4 linked regions of the Drosophila melanogaster genome follow. The protein of the gene in region 4 purifies or fractionates together with the protein of the main gene of each other region. This does not show direct contact. Each region holds a gene or a part of one and is shown on either strand. Other genes may lie near its edges. The genes, in order: CG31125, Phb2, CG32219 and betaTub85D.

Region 1 (3,982 bases), about 15 Mb from region 4:
GATCGACTGCGGGATCTGGATCTGGATCTTGACAGCGAACGGGATCTTGATCTCGACCTGGATCTTGATCTAGAGTAGTACCTTCGTCGGCGACGTGAACGCGTCCTGCTCCTTCTGTGATAGCTTCTACTGCGGCGACTTCTACGACGACTGCCACTCCGACGACTACCACTCCGACTCCTTGAGACTGTGGCACTCCTAGAACGAGAGCGGGAGTGCGAGCGGGATCGACGTCTGTTGCGCTTGGACGACTCATTCATCACTTTCAACTTGTCCAGATTATCTTTCACCTTTTGAGCATAGGAAACCGAAGATGCTGCGGCGGCGGCAATCGCCGCTCCGCTACTGGCATTGATGCACGATTCACCCAGGGTCAGACCAGGCTTCGTCAGGCTGATGGTGATCTTGGAGTGCGGCTGCATTTCGTCCTCGCCCCCAAACGAGGTAATGTAGGTTATCTTCTCGGGACCTGCTTCCGCGGGCGACGGCGAACGCGATTCGCTGTCCTCCTCCTTTTCTTTCTCACCGCCCTTACCACCACCTTTTTTGTCCTTATCCTCCTTGGCAGCATAGCTTGGCGGACTGAATGGTCTATTGGCGATCCTTCTCTCCTTTTGCGCCCGACGCTCGCGTCTTGACTTGCGCCCGCTCAGCAGCATCTTCTCCTGCTCCTCCTCGCGCGCAATGCGCAGGGCATCCGCCTCGTCAGCATCCTTAGTGAGGTGTGAGAAGAAGTCGTTGCTTTTCATGCCGTAGTTGCGCCCGCAGGCGTTAAGCTCATGGGCTTGCGAGGTGTCCAGCTTGCCGATGTCTATCGACACATCCATATCGATGTCAGAATCCGATTCTTCACTGCCATCCCCCTTTTCACCCTTCGCAACAGCTGCCGCTCCACCAATGACAGTTGAACTGGCGGCTCCAAAAGGCTGAGGTCCAATAGTCGCTCCATCGCCGGTATCTTCGTAGGAGTAGCCAATTGTGGCTCCTCCCGTCTTCTGCTTCTTTTTGGCCAGATTCCGTTCCGCCTCCAGTTGGGCATTGGCCCCAAACTGTTCCTCCAGGTAGAGTTGGTGCAGAAACTTATCCTCGCTGACGTTGAGGAAGTCATTTTGCGCCAGGATGCGATAGCGCTCGTAGTTTAGCTGACGCTCCTCGAGGGTCAGTTCGGAGTCACCATCCGCCCCCTCGGCGTTGGTCTTGTTCACGGGAGGAATGTGATCCAAATGGGCGCGTACATCGAAGCGGTCGATGAGGTTGTCCTGCTGACCCTGCCAAGGCACACTGCAAAAAGTATCCATTACTTAGCAAAACAAAAACATCGCCACGCAACTAGAAAGTAGAGGGTTTTATGCTCTAAATGAATATCACTTGCATGATTGCGGCTCCATCGCCGGCGGCGGCCACCGCGGGATCCAAGTAGATCTTGCTTCGCCGGCCATGCAGTTGCAGAAACTGGGTGGGATCTGCCTGAATTTTGTCGTAGAAGTACTGCCGCCGCTCCGCCCTCTTGCGGTAATCGACGATCAGGCCACGGATCTTGCGCTCCTGTTTCCTCGCCTCGTGCCACATCCCGTACTTGTGTTGCCTGCGATCGCCGGCTGGCAAATGACTTGGCTTCACCCGAAAAAGGACATCAGCACGCCCGGCAAAAATATGACCCTACACCAGCTAAAACCGACGATATACAGTATGACCGTATGGTTAAAACTCGACCTAGTGGTGGGAGATGCAGCGACGTAACAACGATACAATATACACTAAAACATCGATACATTGATGGATGACAGACAGGCAGCAATTTTGCGGGATATTTGAAAAATTACTAGTATTTAAACCGATTATCGCTGTGGAGTATTTCCTTATGCCCAATCATAACCTTAAGATTTGTAATTTACAAAGTTTTGATTAAAATAAGAGTTCAATAGAGTTATTGTCCCTTTAAAAGCTAAGCTCAAAAAGAATACCCTCTATGATCGATTTTCTGAACCACTTTGAACCAGCGAACGTTATTTCTGGTCGACACTGGCAACGCCGTGGAGCCTGCGCCCTTTTGTCGAAACAACAAAAGGACAATAAATAACAAGCTAAACTGGAATGGGCCACAACACAACAATTGACGCTCGCCGCCTTTTGCGGCATCGATTTTGAAGGGGAACACATCCACAGGCACAGCTACATAAATCGAAAGGACACCCACGGGGATTTGCGAGTGCAAGGATCAAGGAGCAGGGAAGGGAAAGCGAAGGCAGAACGAGTCCAGCTCGTTTTTCTGGAGCAGTTTTGATGTCCTCAGACAGACGCTACTATTTCGGAGCGGATTTGGAGGACAATGAGGGTGCCATCTGCAAGGCCAACGACAACAACAACGAACAGGAAGCGGATAAGGACGATCCGGATGAATCGGAGTTCCTGCAGGATGTGCCCTACTCCTCTAGCAGCATTGACCGCAGCTCGGTGGGCTCCATTCCGTGGGCGGACGATGCCATCAAGAAGAACCTGCTGGACTGGGAGCGGGTGGAGCGGCTGATGAGCGGCGAGGATCCCTTGACGGAGCTTCAGGAGCCCGAGTTGCGCAACGAGATCGCCGACTGGCACCGAAAGTTCCCTAGCCTGCTGGGCCGCCGGACTCGAACGCTGCGCCACCACAGCTTCGATAGTCAGACGCGGGAGGATATTGACTCGATTTCAAATCTTAGTCTGAACTCCCTGGACGACGACGATGATGACGAGGAGGCGGAGGATGGATTTCTGACACCCAAGGCAGAAGAACCAGAACAGCCTCATCACCACTCCTATTTACGGCACAGCCAGAAGAAGCTGGTGGATCTACTGGACAGGGATCTGCGGGTTACCTCCGTTTCGGTTAGACTCCTCAAACGACAGCGCAGCCAGCAGAACCAGCCCCAGCTGCCCATCTCAGCCACCACCCAATCCTCGGCACGCCTGCGCATGCCGCCCATTCTCAATGTGCTCGATACCAACCGGCGCTTTCGGGGATTGCTCAACAACCGCAGCTTCGTTCAGCTCACCCAGGTGCAGCAGAAGGAGCAGCTGCAGCATCAGAACCAGGCCAAGTCCGCCGTGTTGCCACATCAAAGTCATCGATCGTCCGCCTGGCACATGCCCATGGCCGCCAATCGCTTTTTTAACAACAGGAACGCGGTAGTCCTGCCCTCGCTTAATCTGGGCAGGCACAGCAGGGATTTGCTGGCCACCACCACGGCCACTTCGAGCCAAACCAACTCCAGCGGCGGGGGCGGACACAACAGCCATGGCCACAGCAACAGTTCCTCCAACCGCTCCACACTGCATCCATTTGGGGCGACCAGCGTTTCCAGCAACACACCATCCACGGGACGATCTATCTCGGCGGCAGTTCATCATCCGCGAACCGAATTTGCGCCCAGCAGCGCCTTCTACATACCCTACAGTGCCTCGAAATTCAAAGCCTTCAAGTAACCTCAAACAATAAAACTGATCTCAAAAGAGTGTTTTCTTAAAATTCTTCTGCTTTAAAAGTGGTAAATTTTAAATGTTTTAGGTATGATAGTATGATGATAGTCTTTTCAAATTTCTGCTTTCCAAAGTATAGTGCATACAAAAATAACACACTAGTTCTCCAAAACTCATGTGTATGACGACATATCCCACTAAAGACCCATATTATCCAAGCGCAGACGTCCATCGTGTTCTGTGAGGTAGAGGGTGTCGGCTAAACATTGCTCTGTGATCAGCTCCTCCACGCGATCGTGCATCTGTAGGGGATTGTATAATAGATGTTAAGCTTCCTGGGAACAAACCGAGATATATTACCCCCTTGGCTTTGTGCTCGACGAGCACCTCGGGATACTTGAAGGCGGGTCCGAAGTTTACGCTGACCGTTGCACTTTTGTGGATCGAGATGGCCGGGAAATAGCTGCCGGCATAAATGTCTTCGAATGCCACACCCTGCGATTGACCGTTCTTAAAGAACTCGATGCGG
Region 2 (5,249 bases), on a different chromosome or scaffold from region 4:
CAGTTGTTCTAATGGATTACAGATTCGTACTATACTATATAGACTTTCAGTCTGCATCTGATTGCACAAGTTTGCCGCCGGACTGGTGATGAATGATGCCCGGGTTCTTAATATGCAAAACGTGCTGTTTGGCTTGAACTTGGCCAACATGTCGACTTTAGTTCCTCAATACGAAACTAAAGGCTTACACCCCCTCAAATTCAAGTTCAAGTGCCTGTCGTTCAATGGAAAACGAACGAACTGCCGCCAAATTGGCAAGCTTTGTTGGCCCCGTCAGTGAGCACATAATCACATAACTAAGCTAAGTACGACCTATTCGATGTTGGCCATACTAAAGTCGACCGATCGCAATTGGCCGTTCGAGCGGCCCGTTGCGCATGTTAATTGCGGGCCAATAGCCGATTTTGGCTCAGATGACATTGACTAGGGTACTTCCACCCATTTCCATTGTAGCCCACTCTAGAACTTGGGTATTCCGATGGTGAGTTTCTGCGGTCTTTCAACCGAACTCATCAGGAATTAAGTGCACACGAAGAAATTATGACGTATTCCGCATATTTGATTAATTATCAACAAATTTATAATGATTATTCAGTGCAATAGTCAAATTTATAGCATCTTTCACTTGATTTTTTCTTTTAAGAATTCCGCATAACTTAAATATTTTTTTTCAGTGCTGTGAAGCTTAAAACGTAGATTTCCTTGGGGAATTCTGGAAGTGCGAATACGAACGTCATCGTCAGATATATTTTTATGCAAACTTTGCACTTCGAATGCCAAATGAACCCAATCGAATTGGGTTGTCTTAGGTTCGCAGTTTAATTTTCGACGTCAGATCGAAATTTAGCAGCCATTAGGAGCCACCTGTTAGCATCTTAACGTGATGTGATCAAAAGAAAGGTGGCAGGTGCGTCAGTTGACCACCCGAAATTTTGGCTTTTAGCGCGGCTAATTCGAGGAATTTTCCTCGCCGCTTGATGGGGGAGGCAAAACGACATCCATCTAATCTAATCGATGCTGTCCCTAAATTAATTACGAGTCCATCAGTGGCTAATTTGCGACAAGCGCCATAAAGCAATAAGGCCCAATCAGGGGGGGGACTAAACCATAAATACTAATCTATAAACACTGCGCAGAGGGTAAATCCTCAAATCAGATTGTCAAAACATGACGAAAACAGAGGCCACCTTTTGATAAGGGGCACAGATAATTTCTCCGGCCGATTTAAATTCCTTTCCGCTCCAGCACACTGGAGCTATTCGCTTGAAATTGTAATTGTCACAAATTTACAAAAAAAAAAAAAAAAAACACAACATGTGAGTTTAAGTGCTGCAACAAAAACAAAAAGCCTCAGGCATCAGGTTTCATCATCTATTTATAACTTTTGGCTACAGCGTTAGGTGATTAGTGGTAACGCACCATGAGTTATTTTTTTTTGCCATATCTTTTTTATGTTTATTTTAATTTACTTTTACGGTTATGTAAATATGTTTAATTTTAAAGCTAACTAGCACATATATTCATTATTATATTATAATATATATTTTTTTCTTTTACTTTCGTATAACTGATTTGGGTAAAGATTTGAAATTTTAAACCAAGCCGTTATCAATACGCCTAAAATCGCGATCAAGCCGCACAGAAATCGCACTCAAAACGCGCCAAACGTGAAAAACGCGCCGTATGAAATCGCGTGCAAGCCGCAATACTCATTTATCAAAACCAACGATCAAACCTTATTCTATACAAACAAACATGTGCGCAATTCGTTCGAAAATTCGTTTTCTAATTTATTAAAGAAATTGCTGAAATACTACTATACAAATGAATGGAGTAATACACTTAACTAACTCGGAAAGTTTTTTATTAAAAATTAAAATACAAATAGTTGTTAGCAAGCACACAAACCGATAATAGCAAAAATATTACATTTTTGTATCGATTTAAATAACGAATGATTATGTGACAACGTCACATACGGTCACACCGAACCAAACGTGCGTGAGAGTTTCCCAATTTTGTACGTGGAAAAATCATACGTTTATTATCACAAAATCTATACAGAGTGCTTTGCGTTTACCGACATTTAATATATTTTTTAAATTCCTCGTCGCAGAAGACAAACAAGATGGCACAGAGCAAATTGAACGATCTTGCCGGCAAGCTGGGCAAAGGTGGTCCGCCGGGATTGGGAATCGGACTGAAGGTCCTGGCCGCCGTGGGAGCAGCCGCCTATGGAGTCAGTCAGTCCCTGTACACCGGTAAGGATAAAGCCGATAGGATAAAGCCACCGATTTGAGGGATAAAACCATAAACACGGGCAATAGCGGCATGTGCACATAACCTCAAATGATTACAGAGTGCATAGAGATGTTGCTTTGTGTGTGTGTGTTTCTGCTGTTTCCCGGATTTCATAACTTCCAATATGATTTGCAATATTCTTATTAGACTCTATCTAATAAGATGCATGTGAGGAACATGCATTAACTTATCAGTTATCCTCACTTTAATTACTTGTTATTGTTGGCCAGTCCCACATTTCATCTTCCCATGATTGCATAACAAACTCCATTATATTTGTGTTTACTTTCGGGTCTTAAGTCCAAAGTAATTACATATAAGTTATATATTTAACTATTTACTATACTATGTATGCAAACCCACTCACTTGATTAATTCTCCTTTCAACAGTTGAGGGTGGTCACCGCGCCATCATCTTCAGCCGTCTGGGCGGCATCCAGAGCGACATTTACTCCGAGGGACTGCACGTGCGCATCCCCTGGTTCCAGTATCCCATTATCTATGACATTCGCTCGCGTCCCCGCAAAATATCCTCGCCCACTGGCTCCAAGGATCTGCAGATGATCAACATCTCGCTGCGTGTGCTGTCGCGCCCCGATTCCCTGAACCTGCCCTATCTGCACAAGCAGCTGGGCGTGGACTACGACGAGAAGGTGCTGCCCTCCATTTGCAACGAGGTGCTGAAGAGCGTGATTGCCAAGTTCAATGCCTCGCAGCTTATTACCCAGCGTCAGCAGGTAGAAATCTTCATACTAACCATGGTTAATTCAGTTTGTATATAGTAGTTGTCTGTTACTAGGTATCCCTACTCATCCGCAAGGAGCTGGTCGAGCGCGCCCGCGACTTCAACATCATTCTGGACGATGTGTCCCTCACCGAGCTGAGCTTCGGCAAGGAATACACGGCGGCCATTGAGGCCAAACAAGTGGCTCAGCAGGAGGCACAGCGGGCTGTCTTCTTTGTGGAGCGCGCCAAGCAGGAGAAGCAGCAGAAGATTGTTCAGGCTGAGGGAGAAGCCGAGGCTGCTAAAATGATATCCTTTTACAAAACACTAACTAGAACATTTTTTCCCTTTTACATCTGACTAAAAGGCTGTTAGTATGTTGTGAGCTGGAAAAACTGTATTGTTTTTCTGTGTTCATCGTTTATTTTTGGCCTTCTTGAAATATGTAAATAGGGATTATGCTTACCCAATTTATTGCCACCTACTGGTTCTTCTTAACTGATATGTTTACTTAGGTCTGGCCGTGAAGCAGAACCCAGCCTACCTGAAGCTGCGCAAGCTGCGTGCCGCTCAAAGCATTGCACGCACGGTATGATTAATCTTTTAAATCTCTTCTGATTTAAAATTAATGAAATGCTTTTCCCCTATCAACAGATTGCCAGCTCACAGAACAAGGTCTATTTGTCGGCGGATAGCTTGATGCTTAACATCCAGGACTCTGGCTTCGATGACATGACCGAGAAGGTTTACAAAAGTAAATAGCTCTCGTTTTGATTAACAAAAAGAGTTTACTTTTAAGTTGAAAACACTTGTACTTTTGGTTTCAATCACATTGGCCAAAACTTAGACATAGCCTTCATAATTGAGTAATTTCTAACGCGTTTTCCGTACTCCATCTCTCTTCCTATTTGCCGCACAAAATTTCGTTCTGTTAACGTTTCACCCGATCGCGCAACCCAGTAGCCGATGACCTGGACTAGGAGGCGATCCACATTCGTTGTTAATTAATTTTTATTGAAATTCCTTCGAGCTAGAGCCTAAGTACCGTTTAGTTTTAACCACTCCCAAGCGGCGCATTGGCTTCATTTTTTCACGAATTATCTGCCAAGTGCTAAGTCCTTGTCACCCGGAGGCAGCTTCATCCCACATCCGTTCACTGGGTGCCAAGGATTGAAACACGGCCAGGCATTTTGTGGACCAATGATACCAATGCGGGCAAATGGCCGCATCAGCATTTAACTTTCCATGTCCCATCATCGAGAGTCACGTGAAACGGAAACTGAAAATAAATGCGTACTGAGAACTGTCTGAAGATCGTTGTGTCCCCCTTTATAGATTGCAACTGATTTCAGCTTCAACTGCCGGGGCACACCACTCGTGAAAAAACGAAGCGGCGTCCCCGTGCAGCGATCCCTCCACTAATCCCAATCCACCCAATCATTGCAGTTGGCACCGGTCTGCCCAAGGACTGGTTGGACGCGCGGAAAATGGCCTCGAAGGTCGCCCAGCCGGCGGAGAAGGAGAAGAACGTGGGCAACGTGGCGAGCAGCATGGCCGAGCGGATGATGTGATCCACACCTTAGCGGGGGCTTCCTGTCAAGATCCTAGTACAAAGCGCATACAGAACAGAGCCAAACAGAACGCCGACTTCGTCGCATACGATTACGAAACATTTACTTATCGTTTTAATTGCGTGTATAAAATACATAAGAATAGTACATAAGAGTGTATACAGTATATAATTTAAGTGTATAGAGGTTTATGTATGTAAATTGTAGGCAGATTAGGTTGCTTCTCCAGGAGTTGTGTCCCCGCGGCATTCCCATGTTGTGTGTGTGTGAGAGATCTTGACTAGAAACATGTGTGTGTGTTATGGGCATGCATTCACTGCGATGTTCATCCTTGATGTTGAGCAATCGAACCACCGCCCGGGGTCTCCAAGTCATATAAATATTCTTAAGTCTATCCATAACGAACTCGAACAATCAAATTCCTGCATTAGGCGCGTGGGGTTAGCTTTGTATGTGAGTTAATTTGTAATTGTTAGGTGGCTTAGAAGCGACGCGACATGGACCAGGATCAGGCCGTCGCCGGTGGCTTTCCTCCTCCGGATCCGCTGGCCCCGCTGGTACTTCCGCTCTCGCTGCCACTGCTGCTGGCATTGCTGTTGGCCCTGCGGCTCTCGGCCAGACCGGGTGTGTCCCTCCGATGACGACGCAGCGTG
Region 3 (3,318 bases), on a different chromosome or scaffold from region 4:
AACTACATATACATATTTTTTCCAAAAATAATAATAAAAAAAAAATGAAATTTGCATTGGTAATACTTTACACCATCTCTTTTGTTTGCGAAGGTGCTATTTCAGTAAATTCCACATTTGAAAAGGGCATTCGAAAGTTCTACAATACGGGTAATTGTAAACCAAAGTTAAATTTTGATTTGAGTTTTGAATTTTTATTCTGACCAGCTGACCATAGCCAAGGTTTTCCCATTTGTGGAAATTGTACAAACATAAAAAACGTGCATATAAGTACAGGATTTACGTGCCACTTCGAAGATGAAAGACAGGTGGAAAATAAGTTTGGCGAGACAGATGATAAATATGCGCCTTGTGTGCCAAAGGATTACGTTATCAATGGTTCGTTCAAGAGTTGTATAAGTTAGATATATGTAGGTCCAAACATTCCAAATTCCCAATAATAGGGGAAGTTAAAAACTATTGCTGCTTTTGGTCGCCGACATCGGGATGTTCAGCTCTCATCGGAAGGCTTCTGTTCGATAAAAGCTCCGATTATTGCGATACTTGCAAAGGATCTTGTTCCGGATTGAAATATTCCGACGACTCAGTCGGAAGCAATAGGATTCCGGAATATGGATTCATAATGGCACTGTTGTTTTGTGAACTGTGGATTTGATAGGATAGGGATCACTACAATCATACTCAAATATTGTGCCAAAAAAGAACTTAAAAATAAATCAATTTCTTTTAGTAATTTGGAAACCAAAAAATCGCTTCAAATCATACTAATATGAATTTAAAAAATTGCCAAGCATGTTAGGCGAAGATCAAATTGTCAAATGAACGGAAACAGACATTTTTTTTAAATAATTGACTCTGTTTATTATATAAATTATGAAATGAAATTTTTTGTATTGCTAGTTTACATTTGCTTGGCTCTCAAGTGCGGGCACCCGATAAACCTAAAAAATTACTATACTTCCACAACGCCTTTCTCTTCAGGTAAATTACCTAATAAAATTTTATGGAATTTAAATCTATTTCTATTTGGTTGCATAGCCGATCATGAAATTTCATTTCCGGCTTGCGCAAATTGTTCAAGTGAAAAGAACTTTCGTACCAACACTGATTTTCATTGCCACTTCGAAGATGACTCGGCCATTGAGGAAAATTTTGGAAAATGGACAAATAGTTATCCGGACTGCCTGCCAGACCACTTTATTGCAACTCGTGAGTCCTTCACAAATTGGCCAGGTCAAATGTATTACCACTATCGTCTAATAGGGAAAATAAAAGCGTATTGCTGCTTTTGGTCACCGAAATTGGGATGCTCTGCGCTGATCGGAAGGAAGTTCTACGATAAGAAAATATATAGCTGCAAGACTTGCAGACGATTTTGCAGCGCAACTAAGCAAACCTATGTCGATGATTCGGATGGAAGTGATAAGGTCTCGGAATCCTACGGATTCTCAGTTTTATTGGCCTTTCTGCTACTCAGCATATACTAGGATAATCTATAATTGCACAGTAGAATGGGATGGCCATTTTTATATAATTTATATTTTTGGACCCATCAAATTAACCATAACAAACAGCAAATAAAAGGGTATCTTTTTAATTCGATGATGTGTTTTAATGAGTATGCGTTAGTTTGATGAGCTAGTTAGGTCGATAAGATTAAATAAAGCTATTTTCAAATCAAAATCTATTTTTTAACCAAGTTCACAATGACAAAGCTCTCAAAATATTAAGTACACTTTCCTTTAAAATCGCTTTTATAAGAATGCTAATACAGGTTTTAGTGTTTTTTTTACTTTATCGAAATACTTACGAAGATTGTAATCATAATCATTGTAAGTAACCTCGTTATTAGCAAGGTATTAATAATTTTATTACACTTTTTTTTATTGATTTTAAAGCGGCTGTCGAAGATCATTACGATTGTGGATGTTGTCCGGGCATAAGTAACAACAATGGCCAGGTGGTTGGGTTCCATTGCCATAAAGATGACCAAAACTCAATTTTAAGATTTGCATCGGATGAGGAAAGTGCGTTTGCTGAATGTGTGCCAAACTGTTTTGAGATAAAATGTAAGTCACTTTTGCCTTGCCACTCATTTAATCGGCATTTATCACTACAGATCCCATTCAGGAATACTGCTGTTTCTGGTCACCGAAGCTGGGCTGTACGATACTAGTCAATGAAAAGTATTTCAGCAATAAAGACTTGTGCAATAACTGCAAGTATTTTTGCCAAAGAACTACAGGAGATGGGAGGAGCTCTAGTTATCCACAGAAACTTATCTTGCTACTCTCATTACTGCTGATCGGTTGCAATTACTTTCAGAACTAAAGTTCATAATTGACCTGCTTCTTCAATAAAGAGAGTTACTTTGCATTAATCCTAGGACCTACTCAACCCCCGTCAAAAGACCCGGATGAGTTAATCAAAAATTAATAGTGAAAGTAACTCTTTGGTCATCATTATCATAGTTATCATTATGAACTGTGCCCAGGCCGGGGTAAATTTAATTAAAACAACAAACGCGCGATGTTCCAAAGAAAGCAGCCGTCGCTGGAAATTGTACGTGGAAACGGAAGTGGAAATGGGGAGACCCCGATGTTATCGTGACAAGCCCAAATTAAGTAGCGCACGGGGTTACATCAGCCAGCCAGGGGACAAAACCGGCGGGTTGGGCACTCAATTTAAAGACCAAACCAAGGCAACCAGCGAATATGGCCATGAGTTGGCCAGAAGATGAATGGCAACCGAGCCGGAGGCTCATTTCATAGACCAACACCCAAAACGAAAATTTAAATACATTCTACACCCGGTAAGTTGGACACATAAGAAAGTTGAGTTACTATACGTTTCGAAGCCAAAATCCAGGCAATGTATGTTCAAAACAGAAATCCTCTTGTAGAGGATGATGATTCTTGATTTAAAAATGCATAGGTAATGCCGTAAATATTTGTATATATTTACTACAAATAAAACGGAAAACAAGAAAATAATTGTAGTAAATACGAATTTTAGTTTTCGACAGTTCCAATGGCAAAACTAAACTGGTGTATAACGAATTGAAGCGTTTTATGCTTATATTCAACAGGGTTTTAGTAGTATTTTAGATAACCTAGTTCTTATTTAAGCTCCACCGTCTACAAAGAATACAAAATGCTGCCTTTTGTGAAATTAATTTGATTTGAAGCAGCTTTTCCATTCAGGGATTAAGGAGGATTTTCACACTCACCCGTGGTTCCATTTTCCTGCTCGCTCAAATCGGCCAAAGATGCCGAAAGGGCGTCATTCATCCTGGCCGCCGATGACGTCATCGCCTTC
Region 4 (4,408 bases):
ATATTTAAAGAATGATGAAATTTTTAAAATTCATTGTATCATATGTTATTCGGCCACTGTAACCGAAATCAACCATTTTTGGCGGATGCTGTGTGTTTGTTTTGCTGACAACTATCGATTTTGTCAGACGCAGCATCTTTAACTGAACGAAAAAGGCGCGTGGTGCAAAATATATTAATTGATTATAGATCGTAGTGATTATATTTGAGACTATATGATGAAGCGACAGAATGTCCGTACCCTTTCCCTGGTGGTATGCACTTTCACCTATCTTTTAATTGGAGCCGCCGTGTTCGATTCCCTGGAGTCACCAACGGAGGCCAAAAGATGGGAATTCCTACAGAGTGAGAAGCTTGTTGATTTATTAACCTAATTTCTTAGTAATGAATTTATTTAATCAATTGTAGCCGTTAAGAACAACTTTGTTAGAAAGTACAATGTGACTGACGAGGATTTCCGTGTGATGGAAATCGTCATCATTGAAAATAAGCCCCACAAGGCCGGACCTCAGTGGAAATTCGCTGGAGCTTTCTATTTCAGCACGGTTGTACTGGCAATGATAGGTAAATTAATTATCTATTAAATATGATTTATTGAATAGATTATAATTCTGTTGTAACTTTCTTTAGGATATGGTCATTCTACGCCAGTTACAATTCCGGGAAAAGCATTTTGTATGGGCTATGCTATGGTAAGTGAACTTACAATCCCAATTTCCAGTCTTCTAAAGATATTCCCTTATTAGGTGGGCATCCCGCTGGGTCTGGTGATGTTCCAGTCTATCGGAGAACGTCTGAATAAGTTTGCATCCGTGATAATAAGGCGGGCAAAGAGAGCCAGTGGAGCTCGCTGTACGGATGCCACCGAAATGAATCTCATGTTGGCCACCGGAATGCTCTCCTCCATAATAATCACCACTGGAGCAGCAGTCTTTTCCCGATACGAGGGTTGGAGCTACTTCGATAGCTTCTACTATTGTTTTGTCACCTTGACGACAATTGGTTTCGGCGATTATGTGGCATTGCAGAACGACCAAGCTCTAACTAATAAGCCTGGCTATGTGGCGCTGAGCTTGGTCTTCATCCTATTCGGCTTGGCCGTGGTGGCCGCCAGTATCAATCTATTGGTGCTCCGATTCATGACCATGTGAGTCCATGTTCTATTGCAGGAAATATCTTATTTAATGGATTTTTAATCACAGGCAAGCAGAGGATGCCAAGAGAGATGAGCAGGATGCTCAGAACTTGGCTGGAAATGCCCAGCCGGTGACCTTCGATGATGAGTCCACGTACAATATGCACGGCAAGCTGCTGGAGAACAACTACACAACGGAGAACGATGAGACCGCCTCCCTGTGTTCCTGCACCTGCATGGGTGGCACCAGGTGCCTGAATCATGAGCAGTTCGTGGACCCGGACTTTCAGCCTACCGACATTATCGAGAGCACCTTGTGCCTGAAGCGAGCCTCCGTCTGATATCCGTACAGCCAGCTGTGGGACTCCTCATTGTAGGAGCCAGAGCCAATGGATCACCAAATCGTAGTTACAATCCTGTAGAGAACCATCCGCCGCCAAAATTTGGTTGTTAGACAAACCTTCCTCCCTACGTAGATTTTTAAACCAGGATGGGTCATAATACATATAAGTTTGGAGAGCAAGGTTAATAGTCTTTAAAAGGCAGTTTTTGCTTAAGAAATAATCGACCCATCCCATTATACACCCATATAAACATTTACAAAGGAGTAAAATCCAGGACATCCATGTCAATATCAATCGTATCATCTGGTCGGTAGCCTTGGAATCCTCTATTGCTTCCAAGGCACCGCCAAATCCATCCCATCTCGAATTTTAGCCGTATATTCGTTTATCTATGTAAGTACTATTAAAGTTTGTGCTCAAAACGGAGAACTGAGTTTTCTGAAATCGGGGTGTGTGAAATGTGTCGAAGTCGGAAATCGTAGTAGCCTATTTGTGAACATTCGGTGTAGTAATCCAAGCCAGGTTCAGTTCACCTCAGTATCAGCTAGCACGTACACGACTAAAATCTAAACCTGAAAAATTATACGTTTAAATATTCAGTCTTTTGCCGATTTTTGCCCCACTCAGACTGTTTTAAAAGCTCGATTTTTTTTTGTACCATTTTTTCGGTGTGAAAAAGGGGCCCTAACTTTACTATCAAAATGCGTGAAATTGTACACATTCAGGCCGGTCAATGCGGTAACCAGATCGGTGGTAAATTCTGGGAGGTAATCTCGGATGAGCACTGTATAGATGCGACCGGAACGTACTACGGCGATAGTGATCTCCAGCTGGAGCGCATCAATGTATACTACAATGAAGCCACCGGTGCCAAGTATGTGCCACGCGCAATTCTCGTGGACCTGGAGCCCGGCACCATGGATTCGGTTCGTTCTGGCGCCTTTGGCCAGATCTTCCGGCCGGACAATTTTGTGTTTGGCCAATCGGGAGCAGGCAACAACTGGGCCAAGGGTCATTACACCGAGGGTGCTGAACTGGTGGATTCCGTCTTGGATGTGGTGCGAAAGGAGTCCGAGGGATGCGATTGCCTTCAGGTAAGTTTTGGGGGTTTGGGAATTTATCTGAAAAAGTTTACCCTACTTTTCTCCAACAGGGCTTCCAGCTGACCCACTCGCTGGGTGGCGGCACTGGCTCCGGCATGGGAACCCTGCTGATCTCGAAGATCCGCGAGGAGTACCCGGACCGCATCATGAACACCTTCTCGGTGGTGCCCTCGCCCAAGGTGTCCGATACGGTGGTGGAGCCCTACAATGCCACCCTGAGTGTGCATCAGCTGGTGGAGAACACCGATGAGACGTACTGCATCGACAACGAGGCGTTGTATGACATCTGCTTCCGCACACTGAAGCTGACCACGCCCACCTACGGTGACCTGAACCATCTGGTTTCGGCCACCATGTCTGGTGTGACGACCTGCCTGCGCTTCCCTGGCCAGCTGAACGCTGATCTTCGCAAGCTGGCCGTGAACATGGTACCCTTCCCCCGGCTGCACTTCTTCATGCCCGGATTCGCACCGCTCACCTCGCGAGGATCGCAACAATACCGGGCCCTTACCGTTCCGGAGCTGACCCAGCAGATGTTCGATGCCAAGAACATGATGGCTGCGTGCGATCCGCGACATGGTCGCTATCTGACCGTCGCCGCCATCTTCCGTGGCCGCATGTCCATGAAGGAGGTGGACGAGCAGATGCTCAACATTCAGAACAAGAACAGCAGCTTCTTCGTGGAATGGATCCCGAATAACTGCAAGACAGCGGTGTGCGATATTCCGCCCAGAGGTCTCAAGATGTCGGCCACCTTCATTGGCAACTCCACCGCCATTCAGGAGCTATTCAAACGGGTTTCGGAGCAGTTCACCGCCATGTTCCGAAGGAAGGCCTTCTTGCATTGGTACACCGGCGAGGGAATGGACGAAATGGAATTCACAGAGGCCGAGAGCAACATGAACGACTTGGTTTCTGAATATCAGCAGTACCAGGAGGCGACTGCCGATGAGGAGGGCGAATTCGATGAAGACGAAGAGGGTGGCGGCGATGAATAATAGGATTAACTTCCCACTCAAGATCACACATGAACACCAAAACAGGCTAGCAGGGGAACCCATTAGGAAGGCACAACACATTGGATCTTTGGGCCTTAGCATATTGTGCTTCGAGGCCCGTCGGTTGTACATATTTCCTATATGGATTCTTCACTGTTCGATTATTTATCATTCACACACGTACAGAAGAAATATGTCCACCTTTGTTAAGCTCATGTTGCAATTGCTGTGATTTCTGGGTTACGAATAAATGTTGATTTATAAGCAGACAAGATTACCAACAGCATTTTGCATATTTTTATACCGTTCAAAAGGCATTGCATAAACCTAAACATTAATATATAAATATTCTGGATTGAATTGAATTTGAGGCTAAGCGCTCAATATCGAAAATCTATATTTTGTTGGCAATCATTTTTTAGAGTTGCCTTACGAAAGTGACAGCTTTCCTTTCTGACAGGCCGTCATCATTCAAGTCATTCAAGTCATTGAAGTCAAGGCACCAAGATGTATTTTCCGACTACTCCAGTTACCTCTCGCAGTGGCTATCTGCGCGGCCGAAAGCGCATAAATCCGCATCCCATATCGCAACTGCAGAGTGGAAAACCGACGTCGGAAGACGACCAGGATAGCACAAATGTTGATCTAGAAGAATCAATCAGCTCAAGCTACTCATCGGAGACGGACATCTCGATGAACGTGGAGGCGCAGGACACCAGCACGGATAGTGGTCTGGACACTAGCCAGGAGAGCAGCAACGAACCGCGCTACTCCCTTCGAAAGATGGATAAGAATCCTCTTTAGTGGTTTATTCAACTGAATGGTCTAC

The links.
Region 1: the proteins of betaTub85D (region 4) and CG31125 purify together in Drosophila melanogaster (affinity purification with mass spectrometry, with the first as the bait; one large-scale study listed by BioGRID). This does not show direct contact.
Region 2: the proteins of betaTub85D (region 4) and Phb2 purify together in Drosophila melanogaster (affinity purification with mass spectrometry, with the first as the bait; one large-scale study listed by BioGRID). This does not show direct contact.
Region 3: the proteins of betaTub85D (region 4) and CG32219 purify together in Drosophila melanogaster (affinity purification with mass spectrometry, with the first as the bait; one large-scale study listed by BioGRID). This does not show direct contact.

The regions. Positions count from the first base shown.
Region 1 is NT_033777.3:24,652,871-24,656,852, reverse strand, and holds CG31125 (uncharacterized protein), read left to right. Parts: upstream 1-2,032; 5' UTR 2,033-2,283; coding exon 2,284-3,459; 3' UTR 3,460-3,482; downstream 3,483-3,982. Other genes in the region: CG6695 (uncharacterized protein), read right to left, coding at 1-1,281, 1,373-1,569; ash2 (absent, small, or homeotic discs 2), read right to left, coding at 3,651-3,755, 3,814-3,982.
Region 2 is NT_033778.4:18,817,505-18,822,753, forward strand, and holds Phb2 (prohibitin 2), read left to right. Parts: upstream 1-1,962; 5' UTR 1,963-2,020; exon of another isoform or gene 2,021-2,116; 5' UTR 2,117-2,128; coding exon 2,129-2,261; intron 2,262-2,691; coding exon 2,692-3,038; intron 3,039-3,100; coding exon 3,101-3,334; intron 3,335-3,536; coding exon 3,537-3,614; intron 3,615-3,679; coding exon 3,680-3,779; coding exon of another isoform or gene 3,780-3,787; exon of another isoform or gene 3,788-3,985; coding exon of another isoform or gene 3,986-4,005; exon of another isoform or gene 4,006-4,335; intron 4,336-4,471; coding exon 4,472-4,596; 3' UTR 4,597-4,746; downstream 4,747-5,249.
Region 3 is NT_037436.4:19,949,517-19,952,834, reverse strand, and holds CG32219 (uncharacterized protein), read left to right. Parts: upstream 1-1,699; 5' UTR 1,700-1,762; coding exon 1,763-1,832; intron 1,833-1,898; coding exon 1,899-2,069; intron 2,070-2,119; coding exon 2,120-2,331; 3' UTR 2,332-2,812; downstream 2,813-3,318. Other genes in the region: CG33710 (uncharacterized protein), read left to right, coding at 45-150, 208-378, 444-655; CG34258 (uncharacterized protein), read left to right, coding at 879-981, 1,039-1,209, 1,264-1,487; Ac76E (adenylyl cyclase 76E), read right to left, coding at 3,230-3,318.
Region 4 is NT_033777.3:9,407,824-9,412,231, reverse strand, and holds betaTub85D (beta-Tubulin at 85D), read left to right. Parts: upstream 1-1,949; 5' UTR 1,950-2,179; coding exon 2,180-2,572; intron 2,573-2,631; coding exon 2,632-3,579; 3' UTR 3,580-3,849; downstream 3,850-4,408. Other genes in the region: Task7 (TWIK-related acid-sensitive K[+] channel 7), read left to right, coding at 215-344, 408-563, 630-691, 746-1,146, 1,202-1,475; CG44261 (uncharacterized protein), read left to right, coding at 4,087-4,383. UniProt on the Drosophila melanogaster protein: Tubulin is the major constituent of microtubules, a cylinder consisting of laterally associated linear protofilaments composed of alpha- and beta-tubulin heterodimers.